Linked DNA regions of Caenorhabditis elegans. The protein of the gene in region 2 interacts with the protein of the main gene of each other region in a pairwise test. Each region holds a gene or a part of one and is shown on either strand. Other genes may lie near its edges. The genes, in order: sld-2 and ima-2.

Evidence for each region.
Region 1: the proteins of ima-2 (region 2) and sld-2 interact in a two-hybrid assay, tested with the Caenorhabditis elegans proteins (one large-scale study listed by BioGRID).

The regions. Positions count from the first base shown.
Region 1 is NC_003279.8:3,737,800-3,746,729, reverse strand, and holds sld-2 (Ribosome biogenesis protein NOP53), read right to left. Parts: upstream 5,280-8,930; 5' UTR 5,263-5,279; coding exon 5,175-5,262; intron 5,128-5,174; coding exon 4,928-5,127; intron 4,882-4,927; coding exon 4,828-4,881; intron 4,779-4,827; coding exon 4,635-4,778; intron 4,586-4,634; coding exon 4,506-4,585; intron 4,386-4,505; coding exon 4,202-4,385; 3' UTR 4,083-4,201; downstream 1-4,082. Other genes in the region: math-46 (MATH (meprin-associated Traf homology) domain containing), read right to left, coding at 919-1,141; larp-5 (HTH La-type RNA-binding domain-containing protein), read left to right, coding at 6,396-6,473, 7,972-8,159.
Region 2 is NC_003279.8:6,307,993-6,317,767, forward strand, and holds ima-2 (Importin subunit alpha-2), read left to right. Parts: upstream 1-7,240; 5' UTR 7,241-7,254; coding exon 7,255-7,350; intron 7,351-7,444; coding exon 7,445-7,780; intron 7,781-7,823; coding exon 7,824-8,204; intron 8,205-8,248; coding exon 8,249-8,826; intron 8,827-8,872; coding exon 8,873-9,077; 3' UTR 9,078-9,275; downstream 9,276-9,775. Other genes in the region: C10G11.1 (uncharacterized protein), read left to right, coding at 1-149, 197-289, 339-433, 564-606; F26B1.5 (Serine/threonine-protein phosphatase), read left to right, coding at 1,122-1,205, 1,419-1,627, 1,680-2,043, 2,151-2,242, 2,301-2,415, 2,458-2,541, 2,586-2,789; col-58 (Nematode cuticle collagen N-terminal domain-containing protein), read left to right, coding at 3,286-3,438, 3,484-3,559, 3,658-3,777, 3,826-4,346; srg-14 (Serpentine receptor class gamma-14), read left to right, coding at 4,758-4,988, 5,333-5,695, 6,172-6,345, 6,388-6,600; hrpk-1 (Heterogeneous nuclear ribonucleoprotein K homolog), read left to right, coding at 9,725-9,772. UniProt on the Caenorhabditis elegans protein: Nuclear transport receptor that mediates nuclear import of proteins, and which is involved in sister chromatid cohesion. Binds specifically and directly to substrates containing either a simple or bipartite nuclear localization signals (NLS) motif.

The DNA.
Region 1 (8,930 bases), 2.6 Mb from region 2:
CGAGTTTCGATATATCCTTGAATGTATGAGTTAACAAAAATGTTTTTCCTGTCATTTTCTGAAAAATCGAAAAAAAATGTATTCTAATAAAAAAGAGAGCCGATCTCAAAGGAAGAAAGAACACATGTGCAATTTCTTATCAGTATGCAAACATATATTACAGTTCAAACTAAAAATCGATTGACTACTCAAATTTAAAAGTTAGCGATCCTTCTTATCTGAAGGATCAGATCATCAGAAGGTGCCCATGTGATCCTTCGGAGCTGAAGGATCAGAACATCAGGAGGTACCCTTACGATCCTTCTTATCTGAAGGATCAGAACATCAGAAGGTGCCCATGTGATCCTTCGGAGCTGAAGGATCAGAACATCAGGAAGAGCCTCGTGATCCTTTGGAGCTGAAGTATCAGACCATCAGGTGGTACCCTTACGATCCTTCTTATCTGAAGGATCAGATCATCAGAAGATGCCCATGTGATCCTTCGGAGCTGAAGGATCAGAACATCAGGAAGAGCCTCGTGATCCTTTGGAGCTGAAGTATCAGACCATCAGGAGGTACCCTTACGATCCTTCTTATCTGAAGGATCAGAACATCAGAAGGTACCCATGTGATCCTTCGGAGCTGAAGGATCAGACCATCAGGAAGAGCCTCACGATATTCCAAGTTAGTTGGACGTTTTACAGCTTTTCCCAAAAGACCATCGTTCATACATTCAATTGTGAGGGAATTATAACCGATAATCGATTGAAAATTGCATTAAAAAACTTATTCCAGAAAAATGTGAACAAAAATTAGTTGAAAAATACATATAAAAATCTAGTGGAAAAAAAGGTTGTCACCAAAGATATGCCCCCCAAGATACACCCCAGTTTGTCTACTGGATCCTTTGTCTCCTTGGATACTATGCCCCCAAAGAACCTTTGCCACCCAAAAAGTTTGTCATCTCGGAATGAAGGCCTTCACCTTTTCCCTTCTTTCCCTTTTTCTTCTTATCCTTTGTGGAATCTTCAGAATCCCCTTCCTCAACACCTTCACTTGTCAATTTTCCCGATTTTGCTTTCTTCTTTCCACCACATTGAACGAGCAGCAATAGTATCGGCGAGCCAAACAACATCAAGAGATTCAACAAAATTTTGAGCATTTTTTCGGAGAATTGGTAAACTTTGACGATTTTTCCTCACAGAAAACCACTATCCAAGAAGAGATGAGCTTGCCCAAAAATCAAGCAATAAAATTGAAATCGAAATTTTTATGATGTAAATAAAAAAAAACGTAAGTGTAATTTTAGTTTTTTGTTTAATTCTGGGAAGGTCACGAGAATTTGAATTATTTTCAAACGATATGAATATTTCTATAAAATTGGCGAAGCTTCAGAACAAAACACAGCAAAATCATGGAGATATTTTTAATTTTTAATTTCCAGAAATTTTAACTTTTATGAATTTTAAATTTTTGAATCACGAGGTGTTCCAAATTGGCTTTCATTATGTATATTACCAGTAATTTGCACGCCCACTGATTTACTTTGACAGCTCGTTTCTCGGTTCTTTTTGGTTTTGTCAAAAAATGATAAACTAAAGAATGTAGATAAATATTTTACAAGTATTGTGTCAGTTGAACATTTTTTGATAAAGCACAATAGAGCCGAGATACAAACTGCCAAAGTAGATCAATGTGGGGCAAAAAATTCAGAATTTTTAATTAAAAGCCCCTTTGTTCTCCCGTCCAGCGTCGTTAAATGTTCAAATATAGTTGGCACGGTGCCAAGACAAATAGAGCACTTTTGCTGTGAGGATGCAGAAATTGACATTTGCAAGTGAGAATATTTAATGTTGGTGTCTATTTGTTTGGGGGCATTCGTTAGTTTTTTATCGTCCTATACATATAGAATGGGAAATGGGCTATTAATTGTGAAAATTAAAGTAACAATTAAAACTTTTATTTGTATTGATAAATTGTACTGTATTTTGTTAGAAATTACTACAGTAACCCAAAGTTACAAAAAACTATAGCCTAGAATTTTCTAAACTCGGAAAACTTTTCCAATGGCAGCAATAGCTTGAGCACTACCTTATTTTCATGGTTTCCCCAGAATTTCAAGCAAATTTTTGAGAACTCGTAAAACTTCATGATCCAAGTTTTTAAACAATAATACATATTTCTCGTACTTTCTATACGACTACATATACATAAATCATAAAAAAACACACATTTCTAGCTCTAAATTATAGTTCCAATCAGTTTCAGCACACGAAACTTTTATACAAATTCAGAGAATTCTGGCGCCGACCCAAATGATTCGCGTTAATCGCATCAGAACCATACAACTTTTGCCACCGTCTCGCGTTGCAAACCGGAATTCGTCATCATTGAGGGTGTTTGAGAATTGAAAAAAAGTGTTTTTGTGTTTGTAACTTGAAACACCACTACTTTGTGTTCAATGGACTGGAAAACTGCTTTAAATTTGGATTTGGTGAATGAGGAGAGCGGGGGACCTATATTTCATATAAAAGGAGAACGTGGCCGTCAAGCGCGGAAAGCTCTTCCATCTTGGTACTGATCGACTAAATGGGTCAGTGTCCCCGTCTAAACTGAACCATTTTCAGAAAATTTCAAAAAAAAAGAATTGTAGTCGAAAAACGAAGGCTGCTACGGTAAGATTTTATAGGCAGGCAGGAATGAGGTAGGTGTAGTGCCTATGGCTGTATTCTCAACTGTTTTCGAGACATTTTTATTATTAACAGTTAATTTACAAAAATATGTTATCCCGTGGTGCTCTGGCTATTTAAATAAAGAATTCCAACAAATAAAAACTAAACAGGGAAAATTCAATTATTTCGAGTTAACGTAAAAGAACTTACTAAAGCTTAGAATGCCTACATGCCTGCCTCTTGCCTACACTTGTACCTACATACCTTCGTAGGCAGCTTAGACACACAGGCATGAAATTGACAAAGACTACAGTATCGCCTCAGTAATCTACAATTTTAAATACACATTTCTAAAAAAAATTGGATGCGCTAACTTCCAGGTAAGGACAAACATGGATAACTGTCTGCTTTTGAGTTTCGCCTACTGTGCTTGTCTTGTGCCTAAATCATTTGTGCACATATCAGATCTGCAACTATAAGGTAGGTAGGCATCAAGGTCGACCTGCCTACCATGAGAGCACGACCAAATAGACTGAGAACCTATTTTGACGTTTCCAGCTTTCGAAAATTATTTTTTGGAAAATTAGAACTCTCAGAAACTCGATTTTTTTTTTGAAAGTTGTGGAAAGGATGGAACTTTAGGAAAAGTTCTCAAATGCTTTGGAGAACATTTCGAAACTAAAAGTAAAATGTGATCAGAAAAAAAGCGGGTTTCTCTGTAATTAGCCATAAAACATCCTCCGATCGGTTGGCTATCAAATCGGCATCCTCAACATCAACTGGAATCGTTAACCGATAATATCACATTATCGGTTACATTGCTGTATATATACATTGTTGAAGGGATTTGGCATCGAATTGAAAAATTAGAAAAAAAATTCAAGTTGGAAGTCTGAATAGAGATTTTTCCTCTTTCAAAACTATTTTCAATCTAAAAAACCCTGAAATATTTGCAAATCTGCTTATTATATTGCGAAAATTTGCGATTTTAATGTAAAAAGACGGGTCTCGAAGCGACCGGGTTTTAAAGGGTACTGTTGTTGGAAATTTTTTGTTGCTGCCATATTTTAATTGACTATCTCAATTTGTCCCCCGTTTCTTGAAAATTTATCGAAAAAATGTGAAAATGCATAAAACATATACATAAAAATTTGAAGAACCTGGAGAAAAACTATGAAAAATCGATGAAAATTTGGCGAAAATTAGGAATTGGAAACTACAGTACTCTTTAAAGGCGCACACTTATTTGCAATAATTAAAAATCGGTCGCTTCGAGACCGAGTACAGTATTTTCGTGCAAAATATCAATATTTCATCTCTGTAATATGAATTTAACCAAAAAAAAATGCACTCTATTTTTATTCCCTAAAATTCCGATTCGAAAAAAGTTGAAGCTTTAGTTCTCCTGCCCCAGAACGCAATTAAAAAAAAAAAACTTTAAAACTTTTATTGCGGTTTTTGAAAAACCCGATAAGTGAATGATAAAATAAAATACATAAAAATCCGAATAATAATAATGTAAAAATGAAATTCTAGACAAATTAGAATATTCAGTACTTCTTCTTGAACATTTGTTTTCTCTTCAACTTTCGCTTCTGCTCTGCGGTAACTTTTCCGCGAACGAATTGCTTCTTTCTCAGATTGATTTTCTGGAAGTTTTGATCGCTTTTTGATGAACCGCCGAGTTTTCTGGCTGCTGGATTGTAGGAACGTGCTTTGGCAACATCTTCGTTTCTGAAAAAAAATTATAGATTGATTTGCATGAAATGTGTCAAAAAAATGCTTAAAATAGCCTGGAATCTGCAAATTTCCGAAAATTAAAGCTCGAAATTTCAATGAAAATCTAAAACTCACGTCTCATCATCGAATTCTTCAACCGGACCTTCAACTTCTTGACCCTTTTCCGGCGTTGGTAAGAGAAGCATTTTGAGATCCTGAAATAGGAAAATGGAAATTTTAAATTAGTATTTAAATAAAACAAACCCTCAATGGTCTCTGGTAAGCGCGTTTTGTTGGAGATTTGATCGGTGTTAGCGTAGATTTAACGGCAGATTTTGATGTGCTCGCGGAGTATGACTTCACAGGGGAAAAGTCGTCGAATTCGAACGGAACTGATCCCACTGGCTTCTGAAATTTAGTTTATTTTATTATTATAAAGATTATTAAAGTTTCAAACCTTTTTAGGCGACACCATGCTCTTTTCCGGCAAAACTTCGATCGCAATCATTTTCTGCAATTTTATTTTAAATTTCAGCAGTTTTTAATGCGATATCAACCTTTCTGGGTGAAGATCTCAGTGGAATTGGATTTTTATCATTTTCCGAGCCGAGCTGATTAAGATTAACTCGTTTTTTGATAGGGCTGAATTGCTCGCCTTCCATCATTTTCATTTCGAAATTCTTCCGCTTCACTCCACGTTTCGCTTGCTTCTCTTCGATTTTCTCGTCATTCTCCTTCTTTTCAGATTGAAGTATAGCTGAAATAATAATTTAATGTAAATACGTTTTTTTTTCCATTAATTACCTTTAATATGATTCGGAGCTACAGAAATATCTCCTGCCGTTGGTGATCTTCCATAAATCTCTCGGAAAGACGTTTTCCACTCTTCCATTACGTTCGGGCTGAAAATAATTTAAAAATTTAATTTGAAATCGAAAAGATTCGGCAGAAAACATGTGAAAACAAAGAAAATAAGAAAATAAATAGAGAAAATGAGAGCAAAAACCAAAAAACCAGGAGCTGTTTTCAAAACTCGCGCCAAAAATGTGTGGCAAGTGCGCTCCACCGCACACTTTTCCAGCGCTTGCTTTGAATCGCAGCTCTGTTTTATATATTTTTTCCACGTTTTATCTGAAAATTTCCAGATTTGTAGCCTTTTTTCTGTATTTTCTTGCTTTTAAACTGATATTTTGATGAAATTTTCTGAATAGGATAATATGAATAGAGAATATGAACTGTCAATTAGGAAACGCGTGCTTATTCCATATTAGGAATAAAATTTTAAATAATTCTACTTGGTTTTTAATTAAATTCAACTCCTTATTGTAAAGTTTGTAAACATTTGACTAATTTGAAGCTGTATTCCTTGAATTGTACTAAATAATTTGTTATTTAACATTAACATCATCTTCCTCTATCAAATATTTAGCCGAATGACATTTTCATTGAATTCAACTTTCTCTCCACTCCAAAACCTTGGCTCCATGAAATTGTCGAACTAATCGAAGAATTGCTGAAAAGGGATATGTCTCTGTTTCCATACTTCTTCTCCATCTCCCTTGCTTTTCTATTTCATTTCTCTTGCGGGTCCCTAATGATGGCAGGAGAGCCCCGTCCGCTGCCTTCAGTATATTCCAGGCTTTTCGCTCTAGAAAAAACAATCGAGAAGCGCGTCTTCTTCCTCTTCCCAGTTCTTGTTGCCTGCCATTCGTCCCTCCATTTTTCACATCGTCGTCTGCGTACCATATTGTGCACACATTCCCCTTCTCACTTTTTTTTTGCGTTGTCTCCGTCTCTTTGTGTCGTTCAACGTGTCTCTCTCTCTCTCTGCCCTCACAAAACCGGCTGACACGACACGGTCAGAGAAGAAGAGTCTGGCCACTGCTGCTGCGCCCGTCGCCCCTCTCTACGCTCCTTCTTCTCCACCACCCACTTCTCCATTCGCTTCCATAAGTCGGATGACGTGATACTGACTTCTTCTCCTTCGTTCACCATTCTCCACGGCGTCGACGTCCCTTTTCGGAGATGGACACGTTCGAGCTCGACTCGGACGCCTTCTACATTTGCACAGAAGTGTCACCGCGAAACTTTGTCGTTCAGAAGGTTTGTGTCATCTAATTTGCATTCGGGCGTGCCTCTGTGTAACGAAACACTCCTTTAAAGATTTGTATGTAACTAGAAAAATAAAATGGCTACTTTAAAAGTTAACAAACCCCATTTTAGTAGGGGTTTTTTATCGAAAAGTGTCAGCTACTTCTACGTCTACTTTCACTTAGTCTTCGCACCTATACCATAAAAACCGGATCTCGTTTCACTTTTCTTTAAGTCGTATATCGTGCGCTCCATAATATTTCACGGAGAGTTCAAATATTGCTTGAAATAATTTTTAGAAATACTCCGTGCTTTCCTTGAGTAAAGATAATTTTTTTTCTCAATTTTAAAATAATTCTGAAATATTTTGGAAGAATCATCTCAAAAGTTCATTTTCTGCATCTGCAAAAAGTATATTTCGCTTAAAAACGTATGACGCAAAGCCCCCGTTTGAATAACAGTTTCCAAAGTACTTTTTAAGTATTCTGGCAGCTGAATTGCACCTGCCTGGATATATTTCTCGTAGAGTTTTCCCGTGTGTTGTCTACTTCTTGCCCCATTCTGCCATTGAATTCTGCCACTGAATTCTGAAAATAGACGTATATATTTATTATCAAATCTTTATGATGTTTAATTAATAGGCACCAACTTTTTTTTCCTTTCTGACTCTGACGTAATTTAGACAAATGTATAATAGAGGAAAAAATGTGATTACTCCAAAACAATTCTTCCCGTGACGTCACGAAGGTTCACACAACGGCATATTTGTCGCTTCTGATCGATTGTGTTTCCAGAACTGGTCCTTCTTGGGTCAAAGACATAAAAAAATGTATGTGTATGTACGCGCACACCTTTAACCTCTTCTGTCATCACATCTCAATTTATGCGTGTCTCAGGCTAGCTACCCCGCAGCCTACTATGTTTTCTCCTTTGTGTCTCCAACGGCAGTATCGCATTGACAGCACCCACAAAAAATTTATGAATTTTTCTCTTATTTTGAATTGTACAGCGTCGAATTTTTAGTTTTCGGGAATTTCTAGAAATTGACTTTACTCCAAGTTTAAATTTTAAAAATTAAAAAAAAAGTTCTAGGTCAAAGTTTGTTTAAAGCTTTTCCCGTCCCCTATTGAGAAATCATTATTTTCTTCCACGAAACAGTCTCTTCCGCCACCCCGAAATTCGTCATTTCCGTGATTTTTTGCACACACGAATTTTGCCATTTTCTCACCTCTGATAAGCCACATTTTTCGCGTCCCTCCCAGAAAATCAATTGCACACTCTTATCATTAGCAACAGCCTTTGAGTTGCAGGGTTTTTAATGATTTAACGATATTATTAGTGCTTGATCAAGTCCGGAAAATATTATTCTAATTTTTGCAAAAACTTTTGAGTAAATATTACTAATTGTTCGCATAGTGGGCGTAGGACAAGCTAATTTTCAAAATTATGGGGGAAAACGATGCCAAAAAAATTAATGCATTCAAAGTAAAGATACGGATTATGATTATAGGCAATCCAAATCGACAAGTCACAAATTGAAAGAATGGTGGGAAAGTTCGATGGAAAGGTGGCAGTGGAGAAGACATCTTCACCAGGCTCCTCTGTGGGAACATCTAACGCCCACTCACCAGGCACGTCACCGTCGACATCAGCGTCGGGTGCCAGCGGTATTCCCCAACCACCTCCACTTCCTTATTGGTAAGCGAACGTCGCTACTGTTGCTGCTGCTGCTGCTTTTTTAAAAATCGCTTTTGTCGACTATCATTTCTTTTCTGTTGCATCATGATCTTATTTCATGTTCGTCCCAACAAAAAAAAAACTGTTCTGCTGCTTGTTCCTGATGATGCGTGCGTAGCTGCCACCCTTCTCTCTGGACTCTCTCGGATCTGTGTACACTCTCATAACGTCCGTATCGACTGATGAATCATCTCCATTGCTGGCTCTCGCTCTCTGTGCGATCGCGAACGCATCTCCTTTCTCGGCACACCATCATTCACAGTTCGTCCCCCTGTCCTCTGTCCAAAAGTGGTTTTCATCGCCCCTCACTCGCGCTTACTTCCCCCCCCCCCGCTTGTTCGTCGCCGCGCCCGTTCATCCGCCTTACACTCATCTTTCCAAAGTGACCAGATCACACAGCCGTCGTCGTACAACATGATCGCTATAATTTGTGTTACTTCCTCATTCCAGCGGTTTGTTTCGTTTTTTTGATGCGATCCCCGATGGGAAAATGGAGAATTATGTCGATAAAGCCTAGTTTTTACAACAAAAATTCAAAAAAATTCTGCTGATTAAACTAGTTTTCGCCTTTCAAAAAAAACGTATTTTTTAAATAAGGAAAGCAAATTCCCAGAATCTCGAATTGTCTCAGTATGAAAAGCATTCCGAAGACTGCGTGACACCGCTCTGACTCCGCGGGACATCGTCTTCTCTTATCCATTCCGAAACATCCCACGCATCACTCCTGTTTCT
Region 2 (9,775 bases):
CAAAACCTAAAAAACCTGTTGATGCGGCAATACCTGCGCCTCTGAAGACACCAGCGAAGGCACCTCGAACAAGAACAAAAGAGAGTGCGATTGCTCCGGAACGTGTATTCCTGGCGCCAAATGAAAAGCAGATTGGGGTTTCTCGCTACGTAAGTTTTTTTTCTCTCAGATCATCCAGCAATAATATTTTTTGAAGCAATTCGAGGCTTCACAGCCACCTACCACAAACAACAATGCTCTGACTAAGAAACAATCTGTTGACATGAAAATGCCAAAATCTACAGATCTGGTGTGTTTGTAAATGAAAAAATTTAAGTTAGTTTTAAAATAAATTTCAGCCTGCAGTTCCAACTCGTGCAATGACTCCCGGACCAAAACCATCTTGTGATCCTCCGAACAATAATAAAAGTGCAATGAAGATGAAGGTGATGCAGTGAGTTTTTTTCTTTATTTTAACTTATTTTAACCTAGAAATTGTGCGTAGTAGCTGTTCTCCAATTTTTAATCGAGGCACTGTCTCGTCTCCCCCATTCCTTATCACTTGAAAAAAAACGTTATTTCAGAGAACCTACTTGCAAAGAATTGGCTGTGGATAAAACTCAATGATCCTTTGATGTTTTCATTGTATAAAATTTATTGTCTTGTCTTTGCCTTTTTTTCTGTATTTTGTTGAATTCAGAGTATAGCTTTATTAATTAGTTCTCTTTTTCAATAAACTTGAAACAGGAACTCTGTTTGGGTGAGGCGCCACGGCGGTCACTATTGTAATATTTGCTCTATAATTACTTTAAAAGTTTAAAAAATACTTCAGAAAAAATAATACATTAATCGGATACAAGAATTAATATTTTTACGATTTTCCAGGCTTAATAAACTATTCCTTTTCCGGAAAAATGTTTATAATAATTTTCTATGTACATTTTTTATTTATAAATTTCCGTGAACTAATTTTTTCTGTTATTTTCGCCCATTTTTAGCCCATTTTTACCTTGTGATCAAAGAAATCAATCATTTTTTAAATTGGTGCGTAGTTTAATAAAACGATCAGTTACAAATATAGTGAGTTTTTCATATTATTACTTATTTTTATTCTTATTTTCAGCTTAACATCTTTCGATATAATGGCTGATGATAACATTACTCTCGATATTCACCAATTCATCAAAAGTCATTTGTTCGTCAAGAATTGGATCAATTACAGACAGGTGGGTTCGAACGGCAAAATTAAAATAATCTCGGCAACTTCTCAACCAACTTTAGAATCTTAAGAATGCCAAACGCAAAAGTTGCTAGAGTTGTGTAGAATGAAGAATCGCTCGCTCGCATATTTGTTTAAAAATTCATTTACTAGTCAGAAATATCAACTTCAAGTGAACTAACTGTGAAAAACGTAAAATTAATTTAAAAGATTATTTCAGCATGTATATGAAAAGTCAGACCTCCTTCTCTTGATTGGACAAATTATGGAACTTTTCAAAATGGAGAAAACTCTTGCTACAATCTCTCCGCCAGTTACAATTGTTGGTGATATCCATGGACAATATCCGGATCTTGTGAGAATTTTGAATTCTCGGATTTCTAAAGAAGAAGCTAAACAAAAAATAGTCACCAGTTATTCGTCAAACAGGTAATATTAATTGAATCGAAACAAATTATTTTTCCAAAGAAATTATTTGAAGATTTGTTTTCCTGGGCGACTATGTTGATCGAGGAAATCATTCAATTGAATGTATTTGTCTAGTTTTTGCTTTGAAGGTTCTCGATCTGAAATTTGTTTCCCTTTTAGTTATTATGTTTCAGATAGCGTATCCCACAAATTTCGTTTTGCTACGTGGGAATCATGAAACCAAAGCAATCAATTTTGCGTATGGATTTAGAGAAGAACTAGAGAATAGACTTGGAAAAAAGGATGGTTTCGAAATTTGGGAAAAATTCAACGAAGTGTTCTCTTTTATGCCATTGGCTTGTTTAGTTGGTGGACGAATCTTGTGCATGCACGGAGGAATTAGTGAAAAATTGGAGTCATTGGATTCTATTGATAGCGTATGTTTGACATTTTACGGGAATGCGAATTACACTCACCTGCCTCTTCCCCATTCCTCCGGAATTTTGCGAAAATTATAAATCGTTCACAACATAATAGTTTTTAGATCGTACGCCCACTTCCGGAAGTTACCGATTTGGCTCAAGATTTATTGTGGTCTGATCCAATGGATGTACAAACCTTGGCATCGATCAGTGAGTGAGTTGCATTCTGTTAATTGGAGTTTGGAATACTTATAGACAAAACTTACTTTTAGTACACCAAAGTATGCCAAGAACATTGTCCGTGGATTAGCACATTCCTTCAATGATGCAGCAGTACGAGATGTTTGCCGACGTCTAAATCTTCATTTAGTTGTTCGAGCCCATCAGGTATTCCAAATAACGATATTGATTTTTCATGACACATTCTAGATGATTCCCGAAGGATTCAAATTCAACTCGGACCGCAAGCTTCTCACTATTTTCTCGGCGCCACGTTACATGAATGAGAGTGATGTGAGTTTTTTTTCAAGAATTGTTTTTTTATTTTTATTTTTCAGAACCGTGGTGCCACGTTGCAAGTCGACGTAAATGGACAATTGAGTATTAGTGTAATGAGATACACAAAACCACTTCGTACAAAAGCTTTGGGTTCAGATGAAATCACTCGTGGAGACCATCTGCCTGATATTTCAAGAAAGAAATCAAACTCTTTTATTCCTTCTACATTTTCAAGTTCTAAGAGTACCAGCCTCAAAAAGTAGATATCTGAAATAAAAATTGATTATCTACCGCAACATTTTCTAATACATTAATGCAAATGGGCTCTAGCTAAATTAGCGTATTACATTTTCTGTAAAACATTTTTGATATATGCATCTTTATTTTTTGAAATTTTAAACTGTTTTCCAGAGAGCTGCCTTTTTACTGGTCGTTGGCTAATAGTAAGAAGGAAAGTGTTACATGTCGTCTGAAAGAATGCCTCCAAAATAGGTTCCTACAAAATAAGGATTTTGAATTTTCAACTAAAAAAACTCGCCTAACATGGCCGAAAATTGTAATATTTCTCTTGAAAAGAAACTCGCTCATTAGTTTGAAAATCAAGTATATTAGTAATCACATATTTGTGTGTATTATCTTGTTTAGTTGTTCTTCAATCACACATTACACCGTAATTACACTTTATCACCTCACCAACCCATCCTTCCTTTTCTAATCTAATCACCTACAATCATTCTTCGTTTTCTTCTTTTGAAGAAAATGACGGCTTCTTCTAAATGGGACAACGTCGCCTTCGGGTTATCAGCAGCTTGTCTCTCTGCAGCAATCGTGCTTTTAGTCTCAATTGCCACGTGGCAAAGTGAGATCTCAAGAATTACCGAAGAAGCTATTGTTGAGACTCAACATTTTCAGGTTTGATTGATAATTTTAGACTGAAGTTCATGAAGGTTTTCTTAGGAGACATCAGAAAAGATTTGGGATGATCTCGTTTTTGTAGCTACTGGAGAAACCGACCGACACAAAAGACATGCATGTAAGTTATTTTTTCATGAACTTTATTAGTTAAACATGATTTTTTATTAAACCTATGAAAAACTGATGGTGTCCCCGAAGAACTTTTTTTTTCTTCAGATTTGACACGCGCTCCAGTTGTCCCAGTAACAGGTGGATTCCAGACTGGAAGAACTGCGAATAGAGGATGCAATTGCCGTGGACCACCAGGACCACCCGGATTTAATGGGGAAGATGGATGTAATCGTTTTTATTGTAATTTATCTCATAATTTACCCCAACTTCCAGATGATGGTGAACCTGGAGTTCCGGGATCATCAGGAGGTGATGACATATCAGTGCTTCGTCACGATCCGGGACGATGTGCTCAATGCCCAGCTGGACCAATGGGACCACCAGGACCACGTGGACCACCTGGAGTACCAGGAATTACTGGAGCACCAGGTCTCGACGGAATCCCAGGAAGACACGGAACGCCAGGATATCCAGGAGAACCAGGACTTCCAGGACCGGTTGGAGATCCTGGTTTTGATGGAAAACCTGGAAACCCGGGAAATAATGGAGTACGTGTTCGTAGAATTCCCGGGCCACCAGGACCTCGAGGAGCCGAAGGAGATAGTGGAGTACAGGGAGGACCTGGTTCTCCAGGATTGGCAGGAGCTCCAGGAGATTCAGGAGCACCTGGACCACAAGGGCCTCCAGGACAAAAGGGAATGGATGGTACACCTGGTGGATTCGGGCAACCAGGACCTCAAGGTGTTGATGGAGAATATTGTCCATGTCCAAAACAAATAAAGAAATCTGTATAATTTCATAATATTTGAGAATAAATTTTATATCACAACAGCAACTCATAAACTGAACTGAATAAAGCAAGTCACAATCAACTATAGTAAACAAATAAATAACCAAATGTAGCTTTACTTGCCTACAATTAATACATTTTCAATGCTACAATAATATTTTTATAAATCATTAATTTTAATTTAATTGTTATTCGTTTTCCCAAGATATTCAAACAATTTATTATCAAAATGTTATATGTTTCGTGTTTAATATCATCATGTGTCCAAACTTTATAGACATGCAACCTTTGCGTGATCAAACATTTTTCTCTATTTTCGCACCCCTCCAGGCATAATTGGCACTTTGAGATTTTCTTTTCATTGAATTTCTATTTCCAATATTTCATTTTCTTTGTCGATCCTAGGGTCTTTAGAATGTCAGATTTCTCGCCTGACATGAAGAATCTTGATATTGATCCAATTCCTGTAGACTGTGATTTATCCTATAATACAAACATTGAAGTTTTAAAATTCACAGCTCAAATAATTTACATTATTACTGGGATATTTTTGAATTCGGCCGTATTGGGGACTATTCTCTGGAGATGTAGAGAAGTTTATTCCACGAACTCTTTTTTTACTCTTTTTTCGGTTGATTGTATAGCTGTAAGTGTTTTTTTTAATAACTCATAGTTTCAGAGATTTTCGGAAGAAATTAATAATTAAAATTTGCAACAAAAAAACAAAGCGCGGAGCATCGTATAATACAAAAAGGTTGTACTGAAAGAAAATTTCATGAAAATTTCATTTCTCTTTTGCCTTCGTTGCAAATTTTTTTTCCGTTTTATTGGTTTACTTGATTTTCTGGTGAGTATCAGAATTTTAATTTGAATTGAAAAAGTATAAACGAAAAAGTCACAAGTGCTACTATAAATTTATTTCGCTGTAAGACCTTTCTGTTTGAATCTGTTGTTTCATTAGGTTTCAAATGGGCACCGTACTTTCTTCAGAACATATCAATTCTTATAACAGAAGGTTTATTTGCTCGTTTCTTTATTTACTTTACACCAATATGCCCTGTTCTCGCTGATTACTTTCAATCTCCGCTTGTTGGGTTTAAGATTATAATGTTATTAACTCATCATGTATCAATTTGTAAATCCCTTTTACAAGTTTTGTTAGTTTTAAATCGAATGACGTGTGTCCTGTTTCCAATAACGCACGATTCAATATGGAGAAAAAGCTTGAAATATGTGATTAGTGCAGTTTTTTTAATTCCATTTTGTGCTGACTGGAATATTGCTATATCTCGAGTTTACATGCAATCCACGTATGGAGGTTTCTGGGTTAGCTATTTCAAGAAAGTTAGCTGGGTAAGTTCATCTGTTTCCATTTCTTTTTTGTTTTAAAACTAAAAGAAACTGAAGAAACTGTTTTAATGAACCACATACAGAAAAATAAAAGATGAACTGGAGAGACCCTTACAAAATAAATGAGTGTGACTTTAAGGATTCCAGATTATACCAAATTAGACATATTACCTCACATGCGAAAAACTACACTTTCGACTGAACTTTTTGTTCAACAGTCTCGGATCCCGAGACGAGTAAAATTTTTCAGCTACCGTACCCGCAACAATGATAGATCATCAATCTTTCTATTTGTCATTCTCTCTTTTTGTGTTGATCATATTTCTAGAATTATGCGTTTTTTAATTCTGAAATATTGAAAAGTTCTGGGAAAACGAGAAGATAAGCGGGTACAGTAACCCAACACACTTGTTCGTGACAAGAACTGAGGCTGGGAGCACATTAAATATGTACATTATATTTAATATTTATTGTTTCAGGCAAGCCAATCTCGTTTTCAACTTGTTTTTATTATTATTGCATTATCATTTACATTTATATGCACTGCAATTACTTTGTTAAAACTTCCAGAAAGATCAAAAGAAATAGAAAAAGCAATCTCTAATGCAACGGTTATCATATCCATTGGGTTCACTTTTAAAGTTTTATTTCAGGTTATTAACTTCTGAATTTTAAAAAATATCTAGAACATTCAGATATACTACAGCTTTTTCTTCTCATACACTGATGCATCAAGCCCCGTTTATGGATTTAGCTTTTTAGCTCTAGACTTTTTAACTGTTGGTTCTCCAATTGTAATGATATGTGTTAGCAGAAATCTTCGAACTCACATTTTTAAAAGTAAACGAAAAAATCAGACACTGTCAAAAATGTTAACTAGAACTTCCGGAATGGTGATTGCTCGTTGAACTTTTTCGAATAAAGTATTGTTTATTCAACAGTATGTTTTATTCAATCATGTTGAAATGCATGCTGCACCGTTTTTAGAACTACGGTAGATTACTGTACAATTAAGGTTAGATATATCGTGGTATTTATATTGGAGTTTGTGTTTTCTGCATTTTTCATTTTTGTAGGGCTAGAAAATCTATATATTTTCGGAAGTATAAATCTTTTCCTCAAAAACATTCCATGAATACGCATTAATGCGATTTTTTAAAAGCAAACAATTCGATTTTAAGTTACCGCCAAAAATCAGTTTGGCGCCAACGCTCTTTATTGGCGCCTTATTCGCTTCAACATTTCGAATTTCGGCGCGAAGGTTACACTTTTTGATAACAATTTTGGGCCGCGGCGCTCATTTCTGCTTTCATCGCCCAATGTTTCCTCCTTTTCTTTCTTAAATAGTTTCACCACTCATTCTTTTCAACTGAATTTGTAATATTCTCATGAAATTTTAGTTCTGTTTAACTAGTTCCCATTTATCTCGTTGCGAAATTTATTATTAAAAAGTATGGAGGTGATTTATTCCGAACTTTTTCGAATCAGAAACTCCTACTTTTTTCTAATAGTGTTATTTTTGTTTAATATTCACATAAGTTCTTCCAGATTGAAGCTTAACTATGACTCTCACCGAAACCAGCCTGTCTCACAATGCCGAAGAGGGAAAGGATGAGGGAGGCCGCCTTCAACAGTACAAGAATCTCACCAAGCATGAAGTATGTTAAATTATTGATAACAGATTTCATGCAAAAATGTTACTATCCGACTTATTTAAAGTAATTGCGAGATTTATTTATTTGTTCTGTTCAGGAGCTCCGTCGTCGTCGTACTGAATGCAGTGTTGAAATTCGAAAGCAAAAAGGAGCGGACATGATGATGAAACGCCGTAACATCGTCGACGTCGATGAAGGTGGCAATTCGGAATCGGAGCTCGAGGAGCCAGAGAAGATATCTCATCAGCAATCATCAACCCGTTTGTCAAATGATGAGATTAGAGCTATTCTCTCCAACAATCCATCGGAAGATGATATGGTTCGATGCTTCGAGTCGTTGAGAAAATCACTATCAAAGACGAAGAATCCACCTATTGATGAAGTCATTCACTGCGGTTTGCTTCAGGCTTTGGTTCAGGCATTGAGCGTTGAGGTAGGTCGATCTTTATTTCCATTCAATAATTTCCAATTTTCAGAACGAGCGTGTTCAATATGAAGCAGCTTGGGCTCTTACCAATATCGTTTCCGGTTCCACCGAGCAAACAATTGCAGCTGTTGAAGCCGGAGTAACAATTCCACTGATCCATCTTTCAGTTCATCAGAGTGCGCAGATCTCGGAGCAAGCTTTGTGGGCAGTCGCTAACATTGCTGGAGACTCATCTCAACTTCGTGATTATGTTATTAAATGCCATGGAGTGGAGGCGTTGATGCATTTGATGGAGAAAGTCGATCAACTGGGAGATTCGCATGTTCGTACCATTGCATGGGCATTCTCCAACATGTGCCGTCATAAGAATCCACATGCCCCATTAGAAGTTCTTCGTGTTCTGTCGAAAGGTCTTGTCAAACTTGTTCAGGTAATTGTCAAAATGTTCGATCGCAATTAACGTCTTCACTTTAGCACACGGACCGTCAAGTCCGTCAAGACGCATGCTGGGCTGTTTCTTATTTGACTGATGGACCAGATGAGCAAATCGAATTGGCACGAGAAAGTGGTGTGCTTCCTCACGTCGTCGCTTTCTTCAAAGAAGCTGAAAACCTTGTTGCTCCGGCTCTCCGAACTCTTGGTAATGTTGCAACTGGAAATGACTCGCTGACACAGGCGGTTATCGACTTGGGATCACTCGATGAAATTCTTCCATTGATGGAAAAGACGCGATCATCAAGCATTGTGAAGGAGTGCTGCTGGTTGGTGTCCAACATTATTGCTGGAACTCAGAAGCAGATTCAAGCTGTCCTCGACGCAAATCTTCTCCCAGTTCTCATCAATGTTCTGAAGTCGGGAGATCACAAGTGCCAGTTCGAGGCTTCTTGGGCTCTTTCTAATTTGGCTCAAGGGGGAACAAATCGTCAAGTTGTCGCCATGCTTGAAGACAATGTAGTGCCTGCTTTGTGCCAAGCCCTTCTTCAAACTAACACTGATATGCTGAATAATACTTTGGAGACTCTGTATACTCTTATGCTCACTGTTCAGAATGGGTATGTTTTTATTAGATAATTAGCACTCTCAAAAATGTGATTCCAGTTACCCTCACAAAGTGGACATTCTTCACGACCAAGTCGAAGAGAATGGTGGACTTGACAGTTTGGAGCGCCTCCAGGAAAGTCAATCGGAGCAGATCTATACTCAGGCTTACCGCATCATCACTCAATTCTTCACCGACGATGATGCTGGAGAGAAGGAGTCTCATGAGAATGCCGATCCACAAGATAACAAATGGAGTTTCTAAATTATTTCACACTTATCATCATTCTAGTAGTCATTTCATAGTAACATTCTTCTTTCTCACATTTAACATTGGATTGTTTTTTTTAGAATTACCCTCATCTGTGTGTATTACCCGTATTTATATTTGACCCCGTTTTAACTGATCTCTTCACTTTAAATTGACAATTTGTTTAGAATGAAAAGAAAGTGGAACATATGATTTTTATAACCGGGAAAACGATGCGCGTATTTTTCAATACGCATTCATGTTTCTTTGTTGAACTGTTCACTCGCTAATTTGAACATCCGCGTTTTTGTCTATGTGTTCGTCGCGGGACCCATCTGAAAATTGTCTGCGCCTTTAATCTGGACTCAATATCCCTTGTTTTTTCTTTTCTTCCGGCTGAACTGAAATGATGCCTTTTGTCGTTAATTTTAATGATTTTATCACGAAATTTGAAAAATAATTTCCACTTGAAGCATTTGTCACAATAATGTTTGGTTAGGATAACAAAACTTGACAAGATCCGGCTCATAGTCCTAAAAAAGTTTTTTAAACTTCTTCACAGCTATTTCTCGGTTACTTCAAATTTCTCAGCTTTTTCCAATAATTAAAATTCAATATAATTCGTTAAATCACACATTAATTGCAGTACATCCAAACTCAAAATGATGATCAAAGTGGGAGCCGCTATTAATGGAACAGACAGTCCGAAGGTA